2 linked regions of the Lytechinus pictus genome follow. The protein of the gene in region 1 interacts with the protein of each later gene in a pairwise test. Links are inferred from orthologs where the notes say so. Each region holds a gene or a part of one and is shown in the gene's direction. Other genes may lie near its edges. The genes, in order: serine/threonine-protein kinase 4-like and small ribosomal subunit protein uS10-like.

Evidence for each region.
Region 2: the proteins of serine/threonine-protein kinase 4-like (region 1) and small ribosomal subunit protein uS10-like interact in a two-hybrid assay, tested with the Drosophila melanogaster proteins (2 studies listed by BioGRID). The link is inferred for Lytechinus pictus from reciprocal best matches to the Drosophila melanogaster genes hpo and RpS20.

What each region holds. Positions count from the first base shown.
Region 1 is NC_087245.1:34,385,839-34,393,975, forward strand, and holds the start of serine/threonine-protein kinase 4-like, read left to right. Parts: upstream 1-5,119; 5' UTR 5,120-5,271; coding exon 5,272-5,285; intron 5,286-5,913; coding exon 5,914-5,994; intron 5,995-7,559; coding exon 7,560-7,740; intron 7,741-8,137. UniProt on the Drosophila melanogaster protein: Plays a key role in the Hippo/SWH (Sav/Wts/Hpo) signaling pathway, a signaling pathway that plays a pivotal role in organ size control and tumor suppression by restricting proliferation and promoting apoptosis.
Region 2 is NC_087261.1:19,003,908-19,011,731, reverse strand, and holds the start of small ribosomal subunit protein uS10-like, read left to right. Parts: upstream 1-4,634; 5' UTR 4,635-4,846; coding exon 4,847-4,849; intron 4,850-7,411; coding exon 7,412-7,711; intron 7,712-7,824.

The sequences.
Region 1 (8,137 bases):
AAACCTGTTTCTCGAAAGGTTTCCTAACTAGAATACCTTGATATCGATACTATCGGTAGAAAGAGCAGACGAGACGTAGCCTTAGTCACAAAATAGCATAATATTCAAAAAGAAAAATTATGACAAAATTGCAAATATTGTGATAAATTGGGAAATAAATCTTTTCAAAATAATAGCACAGGTGAATTATGCATCATACATACTTAGACCATGAAGACTTGAGCATTCAATTGCAGAGAAAATTAAATTATGAATAATTCCTTTCATGACTAAAAAATCACTTGTGGACGTTGAGATTGGGTACCCCCGGGATATCCAATTTTAATAGTTTACGAAAGTAAACCATAACGGTTTTCTTTGTAAAATGATGATAATTATGCGGTCTTTTACGATTCCGAACGTCATCAAAATACAGTTCAACGAAACATTTTTAACCATTGATACCGAAACATACGATATTTGACAAATTATATGCATAAATTAGAGATAGAATTTATCCAACTGTTAATAGGGGTCTGAAAACACCAAATACGAGTTCAGTTATGGATGGCCTGACGTGGTAGAATATTTATCGATTAAATCATTTTACTATTTCAAAATGAATGGTTTTGTGGCGTTTTACCAATAGTTTTTATAGTTTCTTTGTATTATAATTATCATTGATTGCATTAACATAGTGCTGCAAGTCAGGCGCCATGTTCGGGTTCGGCAAGGTTCGGCAGAAATTTGCCGAACATTGGTTCGGTTCGGGGTTCGGTAATGATAGACTGATATAAAGCTATAGTTCATTCAGGTATACGTAGCGTACCGGTAGACAATTTGTACTTGATTGACTGCATGTGCTCGCGTGTACCTCTGTCACATCAAACCATTTTATCTCTATCTTGTTGACATGAAACTATGAAAGTTATAGCGCTCAACGAATTGTTATCTCGAATTTGATTATCTGATGACAGATTTATTGGGTAACTCACAGTTCTAAAATGGCGACTCTTCCTAGTCGTCCATACCTGGACCACACTTTGGATACTTGCCAAATTAACTACGCTCGTACTCGTACCAGCTAGCTAGGCCAGAATGTGCAGTCCCCTTGTAGCGGGACTCTGAGCTCATGAATATTTATATATACAGTCCGGCCAAACGTGATTGGCAATTGCATCACATACGAGGCGGCCAGCGCCAGTGCACTGAACTGTAGGCATAGTAGGGCCAGGGGCGTGTCGAAGAAAGCGTGCTTATGTAATGCGCCTTTCGCTAATTGGCTCGATGGGTGAACTAAACCACCAATCGCATGTCGCTGATTGTCGCATCGGTACATACAGCCCAGTCAGTCCGCAAGCCCCTGTGTTAATGAGCAAATGAGCAAGATTTATCCAAGTCCTCTCGTGGCTGAATTCATGTCCCTGCAAAATCTCGTGAATTGTGAGACTTTCTTTTTCAAGGAATTTAACCACTTTTTCCTTGAGTAATATTGATTATTTTTGTACCATGGGCAAGAGTAAATGTTACCCTTTTATATTGGTCATTTCTTTTGAATGAAATATTTTGATAAATAAGTGAATTTTTTACCTGAAAAGATGCATCAAACAGAATTTTCTTCCTCTGTTTTCACTTGCAAATTGTGCAACATTTTGTGTTTTAGGCACCAACATTATTTATATCGTCAGAAAGCTCAAACTCTATACTTTCTTACAATGTCACTCTTGATATGTGGCATCTTTTAGATGGGTCAGCAGCCAGTTATTTCCATCAAGATGCAAGACGAGATTTCTGAAATTTCTGAGTAACATAAAATCCAGAGTTCTGATTGGCTGAATACTGTTTTCAAAACAAACAGGCGCGGGTAATTTGAAGAGATTACCACATGGTGAGTGTGACCTTGCAGAGGCCCAGTGTGGGGAACATTGGAATTTGCGTGGGTGTGTGGTCTGTATGACCAATCAGAGCGCAGTATTCTTGTTTTTGAGCTGCAAAATGTACTTGGCCTATGAAAAGCTGGCTGCTGACCCATCTAAAATACATCTTCTTATAAAAATTATATCATATTAAAGCTTAGATCTTCAGCTTTATCATGATTTAAAAATCATTTGTGCCCAAACAGAAATTAAGTGTGAAAACAACTACTTTTGTTGCATGAAAAAAAATATTTTGTTTCATGTTTTAGATCAAAAGTTTTTCCTATATTACAACATTCTTTTAAAAATCCAAACACATGACCTAAAAGAATGATTCTTCTTCTTTACAAAGATACCAAAAACATGAAATTTGGTCAATATTTAGAGCAGCAATGGCCGAATAAAAAGAGGTGTTTTGGTTCGCACCAAGCTCATTAACTATGCAAAAACCCTCTTGTCATGAATATCACTTGGATAAAAGAAGCTACTTTTTCAGGGCTTGCGGACTGACAGAGCCACGTGCTTTGTCTGCTCGCGAAACTCAGCTCACTGATTGAAGAGCAATTCCCGAGATTTCTATGATTTCATTGGTCAGATTTCATTCGACCATGAACATACAGACCAAGTGGGATGCAAAGTTTTACGACTGTAATGGGACAGGGGGAGTAGAGTGATCATCGAATTGTTTATGGTTAATTTGAGAAGTTGATAAGAAAGGGAAAAAAAGTAAAGATTGGGGGTCATTTTCCCCCAAGAGATGAATGTTTCCGCATGGCTTTATCTTCATTCAACTTGTCAACGAGGGGAAGGGGATCTTGCTATATGCTATACCGTAATCATTCATGAGTGTTTGATTTTTATTTTCATCTGATTGTTAATAATAAAAAAGATAACTTCTCATTTCTATATTATTTGTTTTGCGTCTCTCCTTAACAGTCACTCACTTTATTTCCCACTTTCACTGGATCTCTCGTTTTCAAAACTCTTTACTTCTCCCTAAAATCATGAAAACTAGACAGTAGCGAGCCGACACCTCAATAATAATGTCAATCACCTCAATCAGATCTTTATTCTCCGCCGCAACAATACACGAGTTACGATCTTAATCACATCGTATCGTAATTCGTAATATTAATGGTACTTCATCTTTCACTTTCAGTTTATTGAGCTCGTTCATTCAAAATACTTTGAAGATTTTCAAACAAGAATCTTGTTCGCCACCTAAAAACAACAATATTTTAGATAATTAGATTTAACCAATTAACACTCATACAGTTTTGGTTTTCTTTACCATGCTTCGGCGATTCGGCCACAGAGCGAGAGATGATGAAAGCCAGTAAAATGATTATAGCGCAAGCTCGCGCAACGTCATTCATCGGATCTCCTTTCTTAATCAGGGCCGTAAAAACCACAATGTCAACATGAAAATGAAAACAAAGTCTAGTAACCGCAAAATGAGCGCATACTTCCAACATACAATTGCAAAGAAGATTAAATAGAGAATGCGCAAATATAATGATTAGAAAGGGTGTAAACTTATAAGTTTATTAGCTGAAAGCCGTTTTTTTTTTTTTTGCCGAACTTCCGAACCAAGTCTTAGTGTTCGGTTCGGTTCTGTTCGGTTCGGAAGTGCCATGTTCGGCGAACTACCGTTCGGTTCGGCTACAGCACTACATTAACCCACTTGTTTTGTGATGTAATTTCAACCTCTATGATTGATTACGTAAGATTATAATTTTAAAATTTCTATGCGCTTTTGCATGTCATAGTCTACCCACGTGATGCCACTACGTCATTAAGAAAGAAGTTATGACAATGACATGTTCGGAGCTGTCATAAATATTTAGTGAGGTTGTTGTACCCGATCTTGGTAAAGAGGGCTTCATGAAACGGTTAGCGGACAAGTAGCTCACTATCTCCGATTTAGTCAAGAAGTTAGACTTATGACGGTGTTGAGAAACGGGCCCCAGGTATTTAGTTATATTACTCATTAAATACGAGTTGTGTGCAGGTCTGTTCCTTTTTCTTTTATCAGAGGGTGAAAATGGACATGTTATTTGGCCAGGAGGCTCCTAGAGAGTAAAAATCATTTACTAACGTATGCTTAATCTCAACAGAGCCAGGGATTTCTTCCCATTCATCTGCACGTACCGCCAAAAAACCTGAAACTTTCGCCCCCAAGATTTCTACTTTCCTTCTAAAAGATCTAGCCCTAAATCATGTAGATGGGATACAACTTCATTTCCGACATTTCTACGATATTGATTTCATTTTTAACTAAGAATTCATTAAAAAAGCGAGAAAAATGCTTGGCGACAGCACGCAAATCGCGCAATTTATAAAGAACGTGTAGCTGTCTACCGCAACAAGGCTTGTCCCAGGAGTTGGGCCAAATTCGTGAGAAAATTGCCGAAATATCATTATCAACAAAAGAACTGGTGAGTACCGATTCAACATTATTAATTTGTTGAATATTTATAGTCTAGCCAGGCCCATCTATAAAGATTATCACAAATTTTTTGTGATATTCATGCTTAGGTCTCGGCTAGGGCGGCCCAAATTGAGTGGAGTCCCACTTATTCAACATAAAAGTAGGCGTCTAGCCTAGTGTTCCTTCCTTCGATTTATTTCTTTCCTTCCTTCCTTCTTTCTTTCTTTCATGACTTTGGTTTCTTTTTCTTTCTTCCTTCCTTCCTTCTTTCTTTCTTCATTAGTTCATTCCTTCCTTTCTTTCTTTCTTATTCTGATTCTTTCTTTCCTTCCTTCCTTCTTTCTTTCATGACTTTAGTTTCTTTCTTTCTTCATTCTTTCCTTTCTTCTTTCTTTCATGAATTAAGTTTCTTTTTCTTTTATTCATTCCTTTCCTTCTTCCTTCCTTTCTTTTTCTCTTTCTTAGAATTTGACACAACACAGATTATTAGCGAGTGGGACTACACAGACAAACATGAACGACTTTATTAAAGCGATTTTTTAGGCCTACCTTGTACCAGTGCCAACAATGTATGTATTGGTGCCTCGAAGAGTCATAGGTCCAGGGTTACATCCTAAAACTCGAATGATTCGAGCTGAAAGTCGTTCGATATTTGGAATTACGGTACTCATTTTGCCGCAGAAACTGAGATCTTTCTCTGTTCCTCTTGCGCTCTCTCTCCAGTTTCACGCATTTTCTCGGTGTAAAAATCTCGTTTTACAAAATACAACCACATTACTAGTGTAGGCGCCATACAGTAGAGATATCTGCGAAGATTTCCGGTTTGTTTTGTCTTGACTTGATTAAGCTGATAATCATACTGTTCTTTACATTGCAATCGCCGTTGATTACCAATCGATGTGAATTTGTCATGTTTTTCAGATCTGTCTCTGGACCACGGCAAAGATGACTTCAACAAGGTAAAATGATATTTATTGGAGCAAGGATCGGGTAATATGTGTGACGTGTTTTGTAGAAATGAACAAGATTTCATATACCGGTAGGTACCACACACAGATTTGTATATGTGGGCACAGGTTTCAAAAGTGGATTCGGCCTAGCTTAGAAACAACAACCACAACGACTAGATCTAGTCCACTCTTTTTAATTCTCACCAATAAATCATAAAATGTAATATCTTCAAATGAGAGAAAACATATTTAAATTAACAAAACAGCCATATTTGTTCGGTTAGACAACACTCAGTTGACGACATCGCGACATGGTTGATAATTGATTTTTATAAACGAATAGGGCCTATTCGTTTAGCGATTGATAATTGAAGCCATTTTTAAATTATTATTTTGATTGTTCATCATGTTCATGTATTTCAAGACTTTTATTTTAATTTTGTTTTCAATTTGCCTTAGAAAATGTTACGATACTTTGTATGAAAACTTTATAATATATGTAACTTGCATGTTTGTAAAATTGATTACAATTCTGCCTTTGGCTGCGATGATCTTTTATTAATAAACTATTTTATCGATCCTATCTATCTATAACAGTATCATTATCTCATGTCAAAAATCCTTCTCTCTTGTGTAGTATGTTGAAGAGACTAAGTGAAGATGCACTCACTAAGGAGCCTGAAGAGGTGTTTGATCTCCTAGAGAAATTGGGAGAAGGGTGAGTAAAGTGTCTTACTTTGGATCCTAGGGCCGATTGCCCAAAAGGGTCTTTGCAAGAATTGCCTCTCGCGTCGCCCATTTATTATGCGCCATGTGAAACGCATTTTAAATAAAATACCTGCAAACATATTTTATTTGTCGTTTAACAAAATCTTTCTTTATAAAATGATGTGATATCTCTTGAAATTGTATTAAAAAATGATTTAAAAGCTAGCTGAATTTTTTTTATTTGTTTATCTTAAATTTCAGGAACATCCTGCATATAGCTTATCATAAAAGATGGGTGACACGAAAGACAGTCCTTGGAAAGACCCTTTTGTGCAATCGGCCCCCATCTACTTCTAACAACGTGTTACAATTTAATTAAGCTTTATAAATGGAGCATTGCAAGAAAATGTTGAATAGAAAATTGTTTGATTAAAATGTTAAAGTAACAAAATATTAATGCTATTGATTTATTATTTTGAAATAAGACATATGTTTAACTACAACTTAATCGATGACTTGAATATGAAAAGCCAATGATGAGTTGTGTTCAAACATTTTTTATTGAACCAGAGATGAGTTTGGAGTAATAATCTTATTACCAATAAATATTGTCATTACAGAAACTACTGTTGGGTCTCTATTACTGGAAATAATGTCACTCTTTATATGATGAAACCCTACCAAAAAAAAACTCATCGACTTTATTTTTGTCATTTTATACTTGTTATATGTGTTGTGTAACTGTGGCAAACACGTTTCTCTATTAAAGCTAAGGCCCCAACCTAGTATAACACTCCTAAGGTCACTCTTCCCTTGTCTCCTATGATGTTCCAGTTGAAATCAAATCTCAAAAGGTCTCCTAAAATAAACAAATATAAATGAAGGAGGAAACACACAAAGTAACACAGATCTTTACAATTGATATCAATGACATCGTTGGCTGTACTTCAAAATCTCACCTGTGCCAATGCAACCAAATCATTGATTAATTCAATCAATTAGATGTAAGGAAATCATTGTGGTCAACCAAATACACTCTAACTGCTATTGATCAAGAACCAATGGAAGCATGGAAGGATGGTCATAACTCATGAGATAGTTCTGCATATTAATAAGTACTATACAATGTTAACATAAAAACTATACAATGGATAAACTAGGAAGCATGACCAAGGGGACATTGAATGAGAGAATGGAATGCAGTGAACCTGGTGAAATTCTGTTGCTATGTCAGGGATATAATGTATGTGGATCGTATTGATTCGATGAAGGATGAGGTCATTATATGGAATATTAATTAACAAATTAGATGTAAACATTGAAGTCTGGAAAGCAAAATGTTAAGGCAGGTAGTGAATAAATCCAGAAAATTTGACTTGCACTAGATGCCTATGAAAATGGCACCAAGGCTTGTGAATAGGGGATCAGCAACCATTTTCGTCACATGTAGATGACCTTCAATTCATTTTTAGGCCCCCAAAATAGATAATGATCAATAATCACTTCAGCAATTCGTTGCATATTGAAAAGTCGTAAAATAAGTTATTTTCTAATGTTTTTTTTTTCCTTTCCCAGTTCCTATGGAAGTGTATACAAGGCAATGCACAAGGAGTCTGGTCAGGTCTTGGCCATCAAGCAAGTACCGGTAGATACAGACCTACAAGAAATCATCAAAGAAATCTCAATCATGCAGCAATGTGACAGCACTTACGTTGTCAAGTACTATGGAAGCTACTTCAAGAACACAGACCTCTGGGTATTTATACAAAATTTCATCACATTTTATTCTTCTTTTTTTTCTACATTGTCTCAGACTTATAGACCCATATTCTGAACTTGGGTTTGATTTAAACACTGGACTGGTCTAAAGTTGTGGTTTGATTATTGAGAGCCATTTATGTCACATAAACCTTTTAATAAAGGAATGGTCCGGGCTGAAAATATATCTAAATAAATAGAGTAAAGTTCAAAGAGCAAAATGCTGAAAATTTTATCAAAATCGGATAATAAATAATGAAGATATTGAATTTTAAAGTTTATCAATATTTTGTGAAAACAGTTATATGCACATCATCATGAATATTCATTAGGGGGGCTGTTGATGTCACATCTTCACTTTCCTTTTTCATATGTTATTACATGAAATCATAAAT
Region 2 (7,824 bases), on another chromosome or scaffold:
TCGGATAAACCAGGGAGGTGGGAGTTGCACAACAGCCAAAGTAAGTCACTGTTTTTTTTTTCCTTTTAAGTTTTTTTTTTCCCATTTTGGTGCATTTCAGGCCGAAATGGAATAATAATCTGTATTTTGGTCCAGTTCTATTGACTCTAGGCCTAGACTGCACTGGACTCTATTACATTTTTATGATAAAAAATATGAAATAAAAACAAAAATCGATGAGCCCCGTTGGCCGTCGGGGGGGATCTTGCATTGTTAATGGCGGCTGCACGATCGCGAGCCCTCTGTGTACAAGGAGAAATAAAAAAAAATCTTAAATTGTTTTTTTTTTAAACTCAAAACAGACGGCGGCTAGGCTGCCAGCTGTCTGACTAATAACGTTAGTAGTAGTACTAATAACTGAGTAGTACTTCACTGTTCACAGTGACAGTGTCATGTCCATGTCAATAGACAATAGTCGAATTTGAATGACATGTTTGACTTTGATGAAAGAAACTCAATTTTTTATCTCTCCCTTTGGCTTTGGCTTTTTAGGCTCCAACCGTTGACTAACTCGAGCGAAGTTCGTGCAGGCTCCACTCCACTTCACTACCGGTACACTACACTCCACCTACCCAAACTTCGAGACGGTGAAACAGTTCGGATATACCGAGTCACAAAGGTGGGATGGAAATCATGTGTATCGTAAAAAAAAAAAATTAAAGAAAAAAATATAACGAGAAAGATGAATAACTTAATACCTTACTCTACACCCGTATTTCACTCCGTTTCCATCCTCCGGTTATCCTCAAAATTGGTGATTTGGGTCCAGTATCTTTTTCCTCACACGTATTATTCACGGCCGATTTCAAAACATCGCACGCGATCGCGATCCGTCGGTTTGACCTGCGACCGATCGCGATCGCATGCGATGTTTTGGAATCAGCCGTGAATAAATACCTGTGAGGAATAAGACACTGGCCCAAAATCACCAATTTTGAGGATAACCGGAGGATGGAAACGGAGACGGAGTGAAATACGGGTGTAACTTTTTTAGAGTAATCAGTAAGTTAAGACAGTACTAAATCTATTACTATTAGGCCTAGGCCCCCTATTTATTAAGTTATTCATCTTTCTCGTTATATTTTTTTTCCTTTAATTTTTTTTTACGATAAACATGATTTCCATCCCACCTTTGTGACTCGGTAACCGTTGACATGATTGGCTTTTGCCAACGTGAGTAAAACATATCTGTCGATTGTCAACCAAGACTATTGAAAAGACACAGCTTCACGAACACGTCACTAACTTTATTTCTACCGCAGTCCAGCGCAGTGCAGTGACGGATCGAGTGAGTACGGTACACACGGCCTGACCGCGGCGCGGCGCCGATAATGTGTGACATGGTCTCAATCCTCATGGAATATTTAAAAATCATGGTTTAAATTACTTAAAATTACTTTTCTTACCGTTTATTTCGGTTTTCTCAACTTGCAATTTAATGGCGAAAACTGGACTAAGCTGGACCTGTCCTCGGTTCACAGCACTTGTCTTATCACTTATAAAAATTAAAATCGAGATGTACTCCCGACAACTGAGACTGAGTTACGTTACCGAGTACCGGCAGAAACGGTGAATGAGCCAAGGCTTCCGATCCGGGCAGTTCTAGCTAGCTAGCTCCCCCGAAGTTTCGGCACAAGATCGCGTTCGAATTTGGGTCGTATATGTCGCTGAGTGTTTGCATACGTGGAAGGCCTACGGATATAGACGATTCAAAACGTGCCTACACATGCCTAACTCACCCTTACTAAACTCGACACTCGCTCGTGACTGTGTCGACTCGATGATACTGTTAAGTCCCACCAGGCCAGCCCAAATGACCCGCCCACAAAAAACAAAACTTATGAGAAAAAAAAATAAATGAGCTTATAATCCAATGAAACAATGAAATTTTTCAATATAGGCATGTTGCAAAAGCTACTAACAATAGGCCTATTCATAGTCAGCAGCAGACCGAGTGGGGGGGGGGCAAATAGGATCCGCGGCACCGCTATAGCAAAAAGTTTGTTGTGAAAAGAGCGAAAATTTCATGAGAAAATCCTTTTAAGATTAAAAAAGTTCTCATAGGCCTAATTGTTAATAACTTTATAATTTTAAGTCTTGATTACCTAAAGAAACTGGTCACAAAACAAAATAAAATAGTTCATTGTAATAGCTGGAGCACTAGCTAGCCCGAAGATCAAAAGTTAACACACAATACTCATACAGGGTGCAGCTGCTCACTTTGAAATATTCAACTTACTATATACACAGAAAAAACGCTGTTTAAATTTTTTATACAACGCTGTTTACTATATGAACCTTACAGTAATTGTTTAAACAGTTTAAACAAGTGTTTAAATCTTAAACAACAAAGTTTAATTTTCAATATCTAATCTTCAATAAATTAAACATGATTGTTTAAACTGTTAAACAACTACTGTAAGGTTCATGGATATAGTAAACAGCGTTGTATAAAATCTTAAACAGCGTTTTTACTGTGTAGGCCTACAATAGGCCCACCAGAAATGTATTTTTATTAGTGTATCATTCGGCTTATGTCTGTCCATTTTGTTCAGTTGTAAGTCAGATTTATAAAACTCGGGCTCCTCTTTAATACAGTTTGCCGATAAGACACATGCAGGACTTGTTCTCATAGGCCCTATAAGTTCGTTTTAGAAGTGTATTGGCGGTAGAAATGCAGGGGCCGCGGCGGGGCCACGGAACGGTTTTCAAATTAAGCGTGGGGGGGGGGGGGCTGACAATGCAAAAAAATCACAATCATATGGTCGGCATTTTTGTACACGGTTTTGGAAAAAGTGTGTGGGGTTGAAGCCCCCCCCCCCACACACACACACACACATTAGAACGGATAAAAAAAATAAGACAAATCCAACACTAAACATTTGATCGGGACAATGAATAACGAAATTATATACCAGTAAACAGTAATTTGTTCTAAACAATTATTTACGAATAAATTTGATGAGCAAACTATATGACGTTTATATCCCCACTTGTTTTTTTTTGTACTTTATTACATGAAATTAGTGTTGATTCAAAATTAGTCCTCCAAAATGCCAAAATTAAAAAACTTAATAAAAAAGGATTGTACTAGTATATGAAACATTCAGTTCATCGCTGCAACTTATTTTATCATACTGGGGACTTAGTGATAAATGATTGTATGAAAATATGAAATCATTATGATTTCAAACTATACATAAGAAAAAGGAAAGCGGATGTGACATCATTGGCCGACCTATAATGAATATTCATGACGACGTGCATATAACTGTTTTCACAATATATTGCTACACTTTTAAAATAATTTTTTTTTTAATTATTATTTATTATCAGATTTTTCCTTTGTTGTGTATACTTTGTCTGGAACTTTTTTGTTTGTTTGTTTTTCCCATTCCCTTATTAAGTATTATGTTTTTATTGTTGAATTGAATAGAATTGATTTTTTATTTGTAACGCCGTCAAAAGTCCCCATATTTCATATTGTTCCAAAAGGAGCTAGATCCACTTTTGAGGTTTTTCTGTAAATCAAGTTTTTTTTAATTCACCACTTTCCCTTAGCCACTGCTGTTACTATCATCTTAGATTGATTAAATCATGATTTCAAAAAATAAATTGTTAATTATCAATTTTTTAAGAATTTTTGAAATCTTATATTTCACGGATATAGCTTCTTAATTTGGAACAAAAACTTTGTAAAATGTTAATTTTTGCCAATTTAAACATGTTTGATATTGGAAATTGAACATGAAACACATAAATATGGCTAACAAAGTACATTCCACATCTTTTTCTGATGTTTATCCACTGAAAATTACAACAACAACAAAATGTTATTCTGTCATCTAATTCTACTAGGAAGGTGACTTTTCGATATCTAATTCCAAAAGGAGTCAAGTCCAAAAATATTCATAAAAATTGTTATTTTTTCATCAAATTTGCACTGATGGTGTGGACTTGTATCGACAACATGCACCTAAGAAATTGAATGTATTATAGGAAAAATAACAAATTGTAAATAACCGTATAGGCCCTAGTGGATTAGGCTCCTTTCGGATTAACAAAGCTGTTTTGGATTTAGCTCCTTTTGGAACAAAACCCAAATTCGCAATAAATTTTTACCAGGCCTTTCCACTTTTTTGTTGTTGTTAAATACCAATCGTGTTCATGATTTCCAATAGTGCTTACTGCTTAGAATGTCAAACTTTTAGTTTAAAATATCACATTTTTTCAGCTCGCGCTCGCATCATTCGTATATACTAAGGCCTCGAATGCATAAATGTCTGCATCGGTACAGGGGTACGAATATAGATTGACTGAGTTACCTGCTGGTTGTTAAGACGGGTAATGAATTGAATATTTTAGGCTTTTACAATAAAAGTTTTTTTTAAGTATATTAAAGGAAAATTGTCTTTTTAATGTATCCTTTAAATAATTAATATATATAATTTACAAAATAAATAGGTTTTTTTAAATTAAAAAGTCTTTTTTAAATGTAATATGAGTCTTTGTTTAACCTCCGAATAAATAAACGTAATGATTTAGCCGAATATTGTTTCCACTGCTGAGTTTATTTATCAAAACGAGTGACACCCATTCACATAGCGTAGCAACCGCGACCACACACAGTTTTTCTCGTTCGTGTGAACAATGTGCCCACTGAATGATGCTCACATGTTAACTCATGTACTGCACTCTCTTTAGCTCGGCGCTCGTTGACTGAACACCGACATAAAGTGGCTAGCTCACCTCTGTTCAATTCCTGTCAAATTCAGAATTGATTAAGTCTGCTAGCATACATAAAAACATGGTATGAACATTGTAGAAATGATAGGAAACTAAGAATAATTCATAGAATACAGGAAAATTAGATATTTTATTGTTAAAATTTGTTGACGTGCGTGCCGCGCCGTGTGCGACGTCGTCGACCGTCGTGAGCGAGTTTCATGTCATGTAACCCAGCCAGGCAGGCGCAGGGAGCTCCGGCCCGCTTGCCAGGAGTCGACCGTGCAAAACGATGCATGGAGACAATGGGGTAGATTGGGGTCTCAATAGTAATCTTAATAAAATGTGGAAACAGAAATTATGCACTTACCACGATTAGCCTATATGGATGAAGGTCTATCGTGACACTCAAATCCTGACATCGAGGCACAGACTGAGTGGAACCTCAGGCTCAGTCAAAAAAACGAAAACTTGTTCTGTCGTGATGATACCTCTCGGCTCTCTTTCTTTCAAAATTAAAAACAAAATGGCCGATCGAGAACGAGGCTATATATTTTTTTTTATAGGTTCCAGTCTGTGCCTCGATGTCGGGATTTGTGTGTGACGATAGACCATCCATATAATTGTTAGTGCGCCATAATTTCTGTTTCCACATTTTATTAAGAATAAGATTATTAATACTAGGCCTATATCAAGACCAAGCCTAGGGCCAGTCCCATGTCTCCTCGTTTTGCATGGTCGACTCCTGCCTGGGCTCGCGGGCCGGAGCTCCCTGGGCCGGGTTAATGATCATGATGATGAGCAGATGAGTGTGTCAATGTCCCCACTGTGTGATGGAATTGATCATGTTCAGGTGTTTGGCACACACATGTCTCGATGTCTGTGCTGTGTGAGTTTGACTTTGAGATCAAAATGAGGAATTTACACTTTTGTTTTAGTAGCAGCCGGGGAGGGGGGGGGGGGGCATTTCCATCGTTTGACGAGTGGATACCATGTTCATGCTATTAATGTTAAACACGTAAAAAGGATCTTTTTTTAAGATGGTGCATGTAAAGTACGTAATAATCAGTAGAGTCTAGAGGTGCATGGGCAATATGGGAGACAATGCGATCTCCCAGTCCCGTATTGGAGACTTGCTTTGCAAAAAACACCAACAAAACTCAAAAGTGTAATTTTTTCCACCAAAAATTTTGTCATTGAGGTGAAAAGCCCATTTGTTTGTGTGTGGATGACAAAAAAATCCTTGGCAAAAACAAAAGTAGACGGTGAATTTTTAAAGTAGACTGTAAAGGGGTAATTTTTCATGAGGAATCTGCTTATCACATTTTTATTTTCCGCCAAGCTAATTCTTTTGCAGCAAATGTAAACAAAGGAAATTGGTCTCCCAAACTGGAGACTCTGAAATTGGATACCCTAATTTTTTACAAAAGTCTTTGATATTGGAGATAATCTCATGGGAGACAGCCTCACATATTTTTTATTATTGGCCATGCACCTCTACTGATGGGTGTCAAAAATACTAAAATGAAAAAAGGGTAAATCTAGATCTAGGAAAACTATTTGTTTCTGTTTGCGGTCCAATTTGCAAGAATAGTGAAAGACTTGGACCACTCCTTTTTTACTTTTTGCCCCAACACTACGTATTTAGGGTCCGATTTGAGAGAGGTGTGTGGGGTGGTACTAAACCAAATTAAAGTAAAGGTAAAGCCGACGTCCATGATCATGTCCATGACATGACATGCATTAGTACAATAAAATATTGTACTTGTTAAGGTGGTCAATTCAGGGAATATTTGTCAATGGTAACGTTTTCTTTCCAATACCGGTACTTGTTAAAGAGTAGGGTTACCCACGCCAATAATTGTTGAGGGGTGCATTTTCAGAACATGGAAAATACTTTAGGATGCTTTTTCGAAACCCCATGGTCACGCATGGTATCCTCTTGTCAATGGAAATCCCCCCCCCCCCCCCCGGATAACACCAGAGTAGAGCTGAATACATGGCCATATGCAGATTTTTTTTTGGGGGGGGTGGCAAGACTCCTAAAATTTTCGAAGACAACGAAACTAAAGTCTCGAAAGTGAGGGAGCGAAGCGACCAATCTTCTTGTTGGGGCGCTTTTGCATTTTCGAAAGTGAAATTAAAGGATTTTGTGCAGATCTACGTTAATTAGTTATGGTGAAATTTATGAAAATTTTTAGTAAAAAAATTTAGGGCCTAGACTAGTTCTAGGTTTCCAATATTTTTGAGGGGCAACTGCCCCCCCCCCCCCTGCTATGCATGGCCTGGCTGAATGTTCAAGCATTGTGTGCAATGTGGTATCAGACTATCAGTCACCATTTGAGATAACGTTTGTGATGGACTCACACTGGCAGACTTGTGTGTCTAAACTTCATATAGAAACACATAAAAGAGGACACGAAGCAGTTCGGAATTTTTTTTTTTTTGGAGGGGGGGGGGGGGTATGTAGTTGACCATGCAGAAATCACAATCCGATGGAAATTTTTACAGTTTTTCCACAGCCCCGTATCTAACTTATGTAGTTTTGGGAACATTTTTTTCTTGGGGGTTGGGTGTGGTTTAATTTAAGGAAATATATATATGCAATATACTGAAGTAAAATGATCACAATCAACTCTTGCCACAGGCTTACAGCAAGGATCCAATGAAGGGACCCGTTGAGGATGTCCCAGCCCATCGTATCCGCATCACCCTTACCAGCCGCAACGTCAAGAGCCTGGAGAAGGTGTGCGCCGATCTCAAGCGTGGTGCCCAGGACAAGAACCTGAAGGTGAAAGGACCCGTCCGTATGCCCACCAAGACCCTCCGCATCACCACCAGGAAGACGCCCTGTGGAGAAGGGTCCAAGACCTGGGATCGCTACCAGATGCGCATCCACAAGCGTCTCATCGACCTGGAGAGCCCCTCGGAGATCGTCAAGCAGATTGTATCCTTTCCCACATACCTCTTTCATATGTCCTTATTAGGGTTTTGGTTTAGGAAGGGGCAAAGGCCGGTTTTTTTTTGGGGGGGGGATGGTCACAGAAGTATAATTTGTTG